Linked DNA regions of Canis lupus familiaris. The protein of the gene in region 2 purifies or fractionates together with the protein of the main gene of each other region. This does not show direct contact. Links are inferred from orthologs where the notes say so. Each region holds a gene or a part of one and is shown on either strand. Other genes may lie near its edges.

Evidence for each region.
Region 1: the proteins of NRBP1 (region 2) and TSC22D2 purify together in Homo sapiens (affinity purification with mass spectrometry; 5 studies listed by BioGRID and IntAct, with this or other methods). This does not show direct contact. The link is inferred for Canis lupus familiaris from reciprocal best matches to the Homo sapiens genes NRBP1 and TSC22D2.

The regions. Positions count from the first base shown.
Region 1 is NC_049244.1:45,606,795-45,610,755, forward strand, and holds the start of TSC22D2 (TSC22 domain family protein 2), read left to right. Parts: upstream 1-1,156; 5' UTR 1,157-1,325; coding exon 1,326-3,247; intron 3,248-3,961. UniProt on the Homo sapiens protein: Reduces the level of nuclear PKM isoform M2 which results in repression of cyclin CCND1 transcription and reduced cell growth.
Region 2 is NC_049238.1:21,440,634-21,444,931, forward strand, and holds the start of NRBP1 (nuclear receptor-binding protein), read left to right. Parts: upstream 1-1,496; 5' UTR 1,497-1,729; coding exon 1,730-1,901; exon of another isoform or gene 1,902-2,003; intron 2,004-2,364; exon of another isoform or gene 2,365-2,500; intron 2,501-2,526; exon of another isoform or gene 2,527-2,552; coding exon of another isoform or gene 2,553-2,703; exon of another isoform or gene 2,704-2,761; intron 2,762-4,298. UniProt on the Homo sapiens protein: Required for embryonic development. Plays a role in intestinal epithelial cell fate and proliferation, thereby involved in the architectural development of the intestine potentially via the regulation of Wnt-responsive genes.

The DNA of each region.
Region 1 (3,961 bases), on a different chromosome or scaffold from region 2:
TCCAGGCTGCGCATTTAGGAGGCTTTGCGCTCTTCAACTCCTAAAGACCTGAAGCGTAAATGCTCAATTCAAAAAAAAAAAAAAAAAAAAATTTAAATTTAAAAAAAAAGCTCCCTTTTTTATTTTTTTAAACCTTTAGCCCCGCCCACCCTTCCCCTCCCCTCCCCTCCCCAAGCCTCCACGCGAAACTGCAGGAAACCGGAGGGGGCGGGGCGCTGACGTCACGACGCCGGCGCGTCACGGAACGGCGGCGGCTGCGGCGCTGGCGGTGGCTGCGGCAGCGGCGGCATTTTAGTCGACAGAGGCGGCGGCGGCGGCAGCGGGGCTGCTGCTCCTCCCAGCATCCCTGGCGCGGCCATTTCAGCCCCATCTTGGCCGAGGGGAGGGAGCTGCAGCCGCCGCTTGAGCAGTTTGAATTTTCAGTTTCTCCGGGGTCCGCCGACCCGGCGCACCGAGGAGGAGCCGAGGAAGCTCCCGCCGCTCGCTACCTCACGCAGCCGGAGCGTCTCCGCTCGCCGCCGCCGCCGCCGCCCCTCAGTCTTCTCAGGAGCCGCGCGGGGAGGCCGCCGCCGCCGCCGTCGCCGCCGCCCGCGGGGTGGCTCCCCCGTGAGGGGAGGACCGCGCCGGCCTTCCCTCCCTCCCCCGGAGCGGGCTTCCGCCGGAGACGGCCGACATGGCCCCGGGGCTGAGCTCCGGCTGACGCCGGGGAGGAGGGGGCCGCCCGCGGACCTTCAGCCCGCCCCAGCCCGCCCCAGCCCGCGGCTCCGGCCGGAATCCGGACTCCCCGGCTCCGGACTCGCCGCCGCTTCCCCTGCTTCCCGGCGCTGACGAGCCCGAGCGGGGCCGCGCCGCCCCTCACGCCGCCCCTCGCGCCGCCGCCGCCGCCGCCGCCGCCCCGCCGCCCTCCCGCCGCCCTCCCGCCCCCGGCCGAGGCCTGCGGACCGCGCCGAGCGCCGAGCTGCGCCGACCACGGCGGCCCCGGCGCCGGGAGCAGGAAGCCGGCCGCCCGCCCCTGCCCTCGCGCCCGCGCCCGCGCCGCCGCCGAGGGGATTGAATTGAGGCGCCGCGGCTGCGGGAGGCGACGAGGAAGGAGGAGCGGCCGCGCGAGGGCGTCGGGGGGCAGAGCCGGAGGAAGCGGCGCGGAGGGATGCGTCCCGGAGCGGCCGGCGCCCCGAGCGGCCGGGGGCTCTGAGCAGCGGCCGCCCGGCCTCCCCGACCCCAGCGCGGACTCGGACTTTGCCTCCTGGGGGCCCCCCCTTGCCGGTTTCCGGCCACACCGCGGAGGAGCCGGCGCGCCTCTCCGCCCCCCGCCGGCCTCCCTCACCATGTCCAAGATGCCGGCCAAGAAGAAGAGCTGCTTCCAGATCACCAGTGTCACCACCGCCCAGGTGGCCACTAGCATCACCGAGGACACCGAGAGCCTGGACGACCCGGACGAGTCGCGCACAGAGGACGTGTCCTCCGAGATCTTCGACGTGTCTCGGGCCACCGACTACGGCCCCGAGGAGGTCTGCGAGCGCAGCTCCTCCGAAGAGACGCTCAACAATGTTGGGGATGCGGAGACTCCCGGGACCGTGTCCCCGAACCTCCTGCTGGACGGACAGCTGGCGGCCGCGGCGGCGGCTCCCGCCAACGGAGGAGGAGCCGCGGCGGCCCGGAGCGTGGCCGGCGCGCTGGCCGGTACCCCGGCGGCCCCCTCGGCGGGGGCACCGGGCGCCCCCCCGGCGGCGGGCTCGTCCGCCGGGCCTGGGACTGCGGCCCCAGCACAGCCCCCCACCACTTGCAGTTCCCGTTTTCGAGTCATCAAGCTGGACCACGGGAGCGGGGAGCCCTACCGACGCGGCCGATGGACGTGCATGGAATACTATGAGCGGGATTCAGACAGCAGCGTCCTGACCAGGTCCGGGGATTGCATTAGGCACAGCAGTACTTTCGACCAGACTGCGGAGCGGGACAGCGGCCTGGGCGCCACCGGAGGGTCGGTGGTGGTGGTGGTGGCCTCCGTGCCGGGGGCGCACGGGCCCGACTCGGGAACTGACAGTTCCCTGACTGCTGTGTCACAGCTACCCCCGTCGGAGAAAATGAGCCAGCCCGCCCCGGCCCAGCCGCAGAGTTTTGGCGTTGGGCAGCCACAGCCACCGCCGCCCGTAGGTGGGGCTGTGGTTCAAAGCGCGGCTCCGGTGCCGCCGTTCCCGGGAGCCGCGGCCGGGCCACAGCCAATGATCGCGGCCCCGCAGCCAAGCCAGCCCCAGGGAACCGGCCCCGGCGTCCTCCCGCAGGGCCCCAGTGGACAAGGGCTGCCGCTGACGAATGTAACCCTGCCGCAGCAGCCGGGCCCCGCGGTCGGCGCTCCTGCGACGCAGCAGCCCCAGCCGTTCGCGTACCCCCAGCCTCAGCTACCGCCCGGGCATTTGCTGCCAGTCCAGCCCGCGGGGCAGAGTGAGTACCTACAGCAGCACGTGGCCGGCCTGCAGCCGCCAAGCCCCGCGCAGCCCTCGTCCACCGGCGCCGGAGCGAGCCTTCCCGTGGGCGCCGGCCCGACTGCCGCCGCGGTGGGGGCGCAGATAATGGGCGTGGCTTCCCTGCCCGGCGAGGCCGTGGCCCCGGGGCCGGGACCCGCGCCCGGAGGACAGGCGGCGCCCGGTCAGCCGGCCGGAGTGCCCCTGGCTGCTCTTGGATGCGCGGTGCAGCCGGGCCTGGTCCCCCCTGGGACCGTGCAGCCCCAGTCCGTGCCTCCGCCGCAGATGGGTGGCAGTGGGGCGCCGGCAGCCGTGCCCGGCGGCCCCCACGCCGTTCTACCCGGAGTTCCAAACGTGCCTGCAGCCGCGCCCGCTCCAAGCGTGCCTAGTGCGTCTACCACCTCCATTACTATGCCAAATGTCCCCGCGCCGCTGGCCCAGTCGCAGCAGCTGAGCAGCCATACGCCCGTCAGCCGGAGCAGCAGCGTAATCCCGCACGGTGGGCTGCCCTTAGCGCCAGGCACACCCAGTGCACCGACGAGTCTACCGCAGGCTGACCTAAGCCAGTTCCAGACTCAGACCCAGCCTTTGGTCGGGCAAGCCGACGATACCAGAAGAAAATCAGAACCCCTACCTCAACCACCACTTTCTCTCATTGCTGAAACTAAGCCTGTCGTGAAGCCTCCTGTTGCAGATGCCCTGGCCAACCCCCTTCAGTTAACACCTATGAACAGTCTCGCCACCTCTGTGTTCAGCATAGCTATTCCCGTGGATGGCGATGAAGACAGGTATGGAAATCTTCCTTAAAATACTTGATAGGAACCCTTGACCAAACACTAGTTTAGAATGCAACTTAAGAGTTCTTCGCCCCCCCCCCCCCCGCAGTTTGAGGCCCTTAGCATTTTTTAAATAGACAAATTGCGTTTTTAGTCAGATTGATTTGTCAGTTTTTGAAAAGGCGTTAGTTTTAGATTGCTAATGTAAAGGTGTGTGATGAGAGAATTGGTCTTGTCACAGTCATTTAAGAGCATTGAATTGGATAAGGATACAACGTTTGTTCATTCAGAAAGATGGGTTTAAGCTTAATTTTCTCGATTTACAGGTGGTACCTGGTAGATTATGCCCCATAGCATTTTCTTAGGTAACAATCACACCTGAACGCTTATGGCAGAGTTTTGTCAGTGTGAGTTTGGAGACCAGGACATACAATTAGAAGTTTCCCATTCTGGAAAACCAGAGGTCGTATAATAGGGATAGATCCATGTAAGGAATCTCCTCCAGTGTGTCTGCAAAGGCTGGAGAGAGTGGTGAAATGTCATGTCTGGCTTTGAAGATCATATCGTCCTCCAGCCTTTTTAATAAAAGAACATAGAAGGTCAGGAGGCTTCCCAGTGACATCGTTAAGACCCCCCCCCCTTTTTTTTTAAAGCAAAAGGTGTGTTATCATCCATCAGTTTTTTGTTTTGTTTTGTTTTGTTTTACTATAGAAAGGGAGGTATGAA
Region 2 (4,298 bases):
TCGGGCTTCCTGCTTCCTGCATGGCACCTGCTTCTCCCTCTGCCTGTGTCTCTCATGAATAAATAAAATCTTAAAAAAAAAAGAAAAACAAGGAGTAATTTGAAAAAGATTATGTATTATCAGCTTGCTTTCATTTTAAATTATATGCACATATATTAATACATGCACAGAAAAATGGATACATACATCAAAATCTTAATTCTTCTGTTGAAATAGGATTACAAGAGATTTTCACATTCTATAGCAATTGTTAATTCACAATATTCCATAGGATTCCTGTAAGGATTAAATGAGTTAATATGTCATAAGGCAATTGAAACAGTGGACCATAGCACATAGAAGATATTACATAAATATTTTTGAAATATTGTTTACAATAAATTTTATTAAAGCAGAATAAAATGAGGTGGCGAAAATGCAGTGTTTGAGCTGTTTAAACATGAAAAGTTAGAAATAAAATGAGAGCTGGAGGACGCCAATGGGTCCTCTATGCATATTTGAAAGAAGGAGTTAGTTAAAAAGGAAAGGTTAATAATGATAAGGTCCAAACAGAAGAGAATGGGAAACTATAATAATATTAACTGATATTTAATGAATGTTTATAGGGGAGCAGGTGCCCCAATTGCCTTGGAGCCCACAAGGAGAAAGGGTTAACCTGGAGAAAGGGAGAAACAACCTTCCTTTGAAGATTAGAACAAAAAGATTTTTAACTTCAGTCTTTTGAAATTATATGCTAAATTTAGGGGACAAATTCATTTCCTAAATATCCAAAACAAGATCCATAACTTTCATCAGATTTCTAAAAGAATGTGTGAGCCCTCTGAAACGTAAAAGAATCAAGGATGAAAGATTGGTTGCAAAAGTATTTTGAGATGAAGAGATAAGAAAACGAGAGGGCTTTTGCCATATATTCTTCTTTACATTAGTTAAGAGGATTAAGAGATACCCTTTAAGGACAGTGAAATTTAGTGATTATCGCATTGCCAAGTTCTGAAAACCGATTCATCCTCCTCCCTTCAAAATACACGTCTAATGGCAGAGCGAATTTCTACCGCTCAGGCTCAGCGTTTAGTTTTCGCAGACCAATGGGCTCACCCCGGATCTTTCCCTTTCACTTCCTTGAAGTCAATCCAAATTCTTTCCAAACATCTTTTCAAGGAAGCCTTTGATAAATCTTACTGTTTGGATGCTAGATTTGGCTCCTATCAACTTTTGGTGAATAGCCTTAATGCCTCTGATTTCGTTTTTTGCATGTGTCAGTTAGCCTTTCAATTTCTTATACGGATCAAACGAGTCATCTGTGAAAACCTCCTGCAAAGTTTTGGCAAAGGTCGGTGCTATGCAATTTTCAGGATACGTTCAGGAAAAATTTTAAGCTGAAGAACTGGTGTCCTGCGCAGTCTCGCCCCTTACAAATAATGAAAGTGGGTGGGCGCTCCTCCCGGTGTGAGGCTACGTCTTTCGCTCCTTTTGTCTTTTAGTCGGAACAGAACTGTCATGGCGCCTTCAAGAGGAGACGGAAGGCCTTCCTTTCGCCCGGCGGACTCATCGGGGGCACCTGGACTGGACGGAGGGGTGGACAGTGAGACCAACCCCAGCCGAGACCCAACACACCGATGCCTCCGAGAGGTCTCAACCGGACAGGCTCAAGGGGAGGAGACCGGCTTGGAGACTATGGCAGCGAGCGGCCGTCTTCCCGGGGCACCGCCCACCTTGGCCGCCCCATCCAATGGCAACCCAACGGCAGTGCGGCACCGCCCATCTGTTGGTCGGGACGCCGCGAGGGCGGGGCCCGCAGTTCGGTTGCGCTGCGGAGCGCAGCTGTGAGGGAGTCTCTCTGGTCCGCGGCCCCGAACCCGAGCTGGAGCTGAAGCGCAGGCTGCGGGGAGCGGAGTCGGGAGGTGAGCGCCGAGGGGAGGGAGCGGGAGGGACGGGTTCGGCGACCGGACAGAAGGGTCGGCTTCCGCGGCCCGACGCGCCGGGACCCCGGCAGGCGGGTGTCTGGAGGCTGCTCTGCTCGCTCGGCGGCCCGAGGCCCGGCCCGCCGGAGCCCAGGGGCCGCCCCGGCCCCACAGTCTCGGCCGGGCCCTCCCGGCCTGCCCTGAGTGGCGGCCACCCGGAATTCTGCCGGCGCGGGGCGCGGGGCGCGAGGCCCTGGCGTTCGTGTCGAACTGGGGCTGACGAGAGGCGGGGCCGGCCGCGGGGGCGGGGGCGGCGGTGGCGGGCCCCGCGGCCTGCGGAAGCGCAGCGTCGGGGCCGCGCCTGCTGGCGGAGGCCGGCGCGCCGACAGCGCGGGGGCGTGGCCTGCGCCCCTGACGGCGCCGCGGGGCTGGCCTTTGATGAGGTGGCGGCGGCTGGCTCCCGGGCCTGCGGGACCCGCGGCGCTCGCAAGCAGACGGCGGGCAGGGGACCTGTTGGAGCGTGAGGCCGTTCCCTGCGCTTGCTTTGACGTCTGACCACACAACCCTGTGGGTCCCGGAGGCCCTGTGGTCGGCTCGGGGTGAGGGCAGCCCAGAGGCCTGTGGCCTGCGAGCTGTTGCTGAGGAGTTGAAATGCAGAGGGGCTGCAGTCCAGTAAATGAAAGTCTCCGAGAAAAACTTTGCGCGACGATCTACCTACACTGCTCAGAAGTGAACACAGTATTCTCGGGGTGGCTGGAAGCGGCGAGGAGATTCCCTTGTAGGGGCGTGAATGGCCTTTTCCGTATGTGATCTCTTAAACCTCTGAACGACCCTGAGAAGAAAACCCCAGCGTTGCAAAGGTTTCTTCATCGGGAGGGGAAGTGCTAGGGCATCTTGGGCAGTGCCTTGGTTTTGCCTGCTGGGGAAAGATTGGGGAGGGAGAAAACAAGGACACGGCTGTGACTGGTAAAGGTTTGGCTTCTTTTGTGGTGCTTTACTGTGGATTGTCTGTGACCTGGGTCAAGAGGTTTCCTTAGAATCCATTGGCTACAGGCTTCCTGTATTGGAGCTCCAGTGGTATTTCCTATTGTCATCTAGCTGGAATTTTTACTGAGCTGTTCAGATTCAAGATGCATTCTATAAATATAGCTGCTCTAGAAAGTAATCCCTATGAACTTTCTTACCATTTTCTTAGTTGCTTTTCAGGGGGGAAGAAAAAGGAAAGTGATCTCTAACTGGTGTTCTGGTACATTACTAAGACAGCTTTCTTGTCTGGTTGAATAAAGTCTATGATAGGCAGGACCTAGATAATAACAGGCAAAGAATATCTTGCCAGATTTTCTCTGTAGTGCTTTATGGTTATCTGGTATTTACTAGAATGTCATCTTAATAAGAATCTGATTTGGGTTAAACATAGTGTAAATTGGGGGTGGAGATTGGCAGAAGGGAGTATCCAGGAGTTCTAAAATAAGAGCTTTTTGAAAGATTGTTGTTGATCAGAGGCTTCTGTATTCTGAATTTAGAGGAGGAAGTCTACTTTCCAGAATGTCACTTTCATATGGAGCACTCCTTTGAGCCCAGCACACACAGGTTTCAGCTCCGTCATAGCCTTTGTTCTTAGAGAGATGGAATAACATTCAGTGGTTGTCCTGCAACTGTCTGGATAAGTTAGCGACATTTAGCTTGTGAGAATTCTTTTTCTTCCAAATAGCCATGTGCCTTAAAAAAATATTGTACTATATAGTATTTTTTCTTGTAACTGCTGTATTTTGAGTTATTTGTTCTTTTTAAAAATTTTTTTGTTTTAAAGATTTTACTCATTTATTTGAGAGAGAGTGAGCTTGAGCAGGGGAAGTGGGAGCCAGACTCGGGGCTCAATCCCAAGATCATGTCCTGAGCTGAAGGAAGATGCTTAACAGACTGAGCCAACCCGGCACTCCTTGAGTTATTTGTTTATGAGGGAATATCTCTGTCAGATCTGGTATCCCCGAGGGTGGAGCCTTTGAGCTGTTTGGATGAAATGAAAGCTGGAAGCTGAAAGTTCTAGATTTGTTTAAATTTGTGGTTCCATAAATGTGGGCATCTCATTTATTTTATTCACTATTTTATCTCTGGTACCTAGCCCAGTGCTTGGCCTACAGTAAGTGCTTAATAAATATTTGTTGAATGAGTGAATGAAAAAAAAATGTTGCTAACCAATACCCATTTGCACACTCACATCACAGGGGAGGTGAGGGCATCAGGGATGAAGTCACTAACCACTGCCAGTTACCTGGCCCAAGGGTATCCTCAGCATGGACTAGTAGACTTGATCTATGTGTAGGAGGGATGGATAGCAAATGCCAGAATTCTAGTGGAATAAATTAGCTTGAGGGTTTCATCTGGATAAATTGGCTG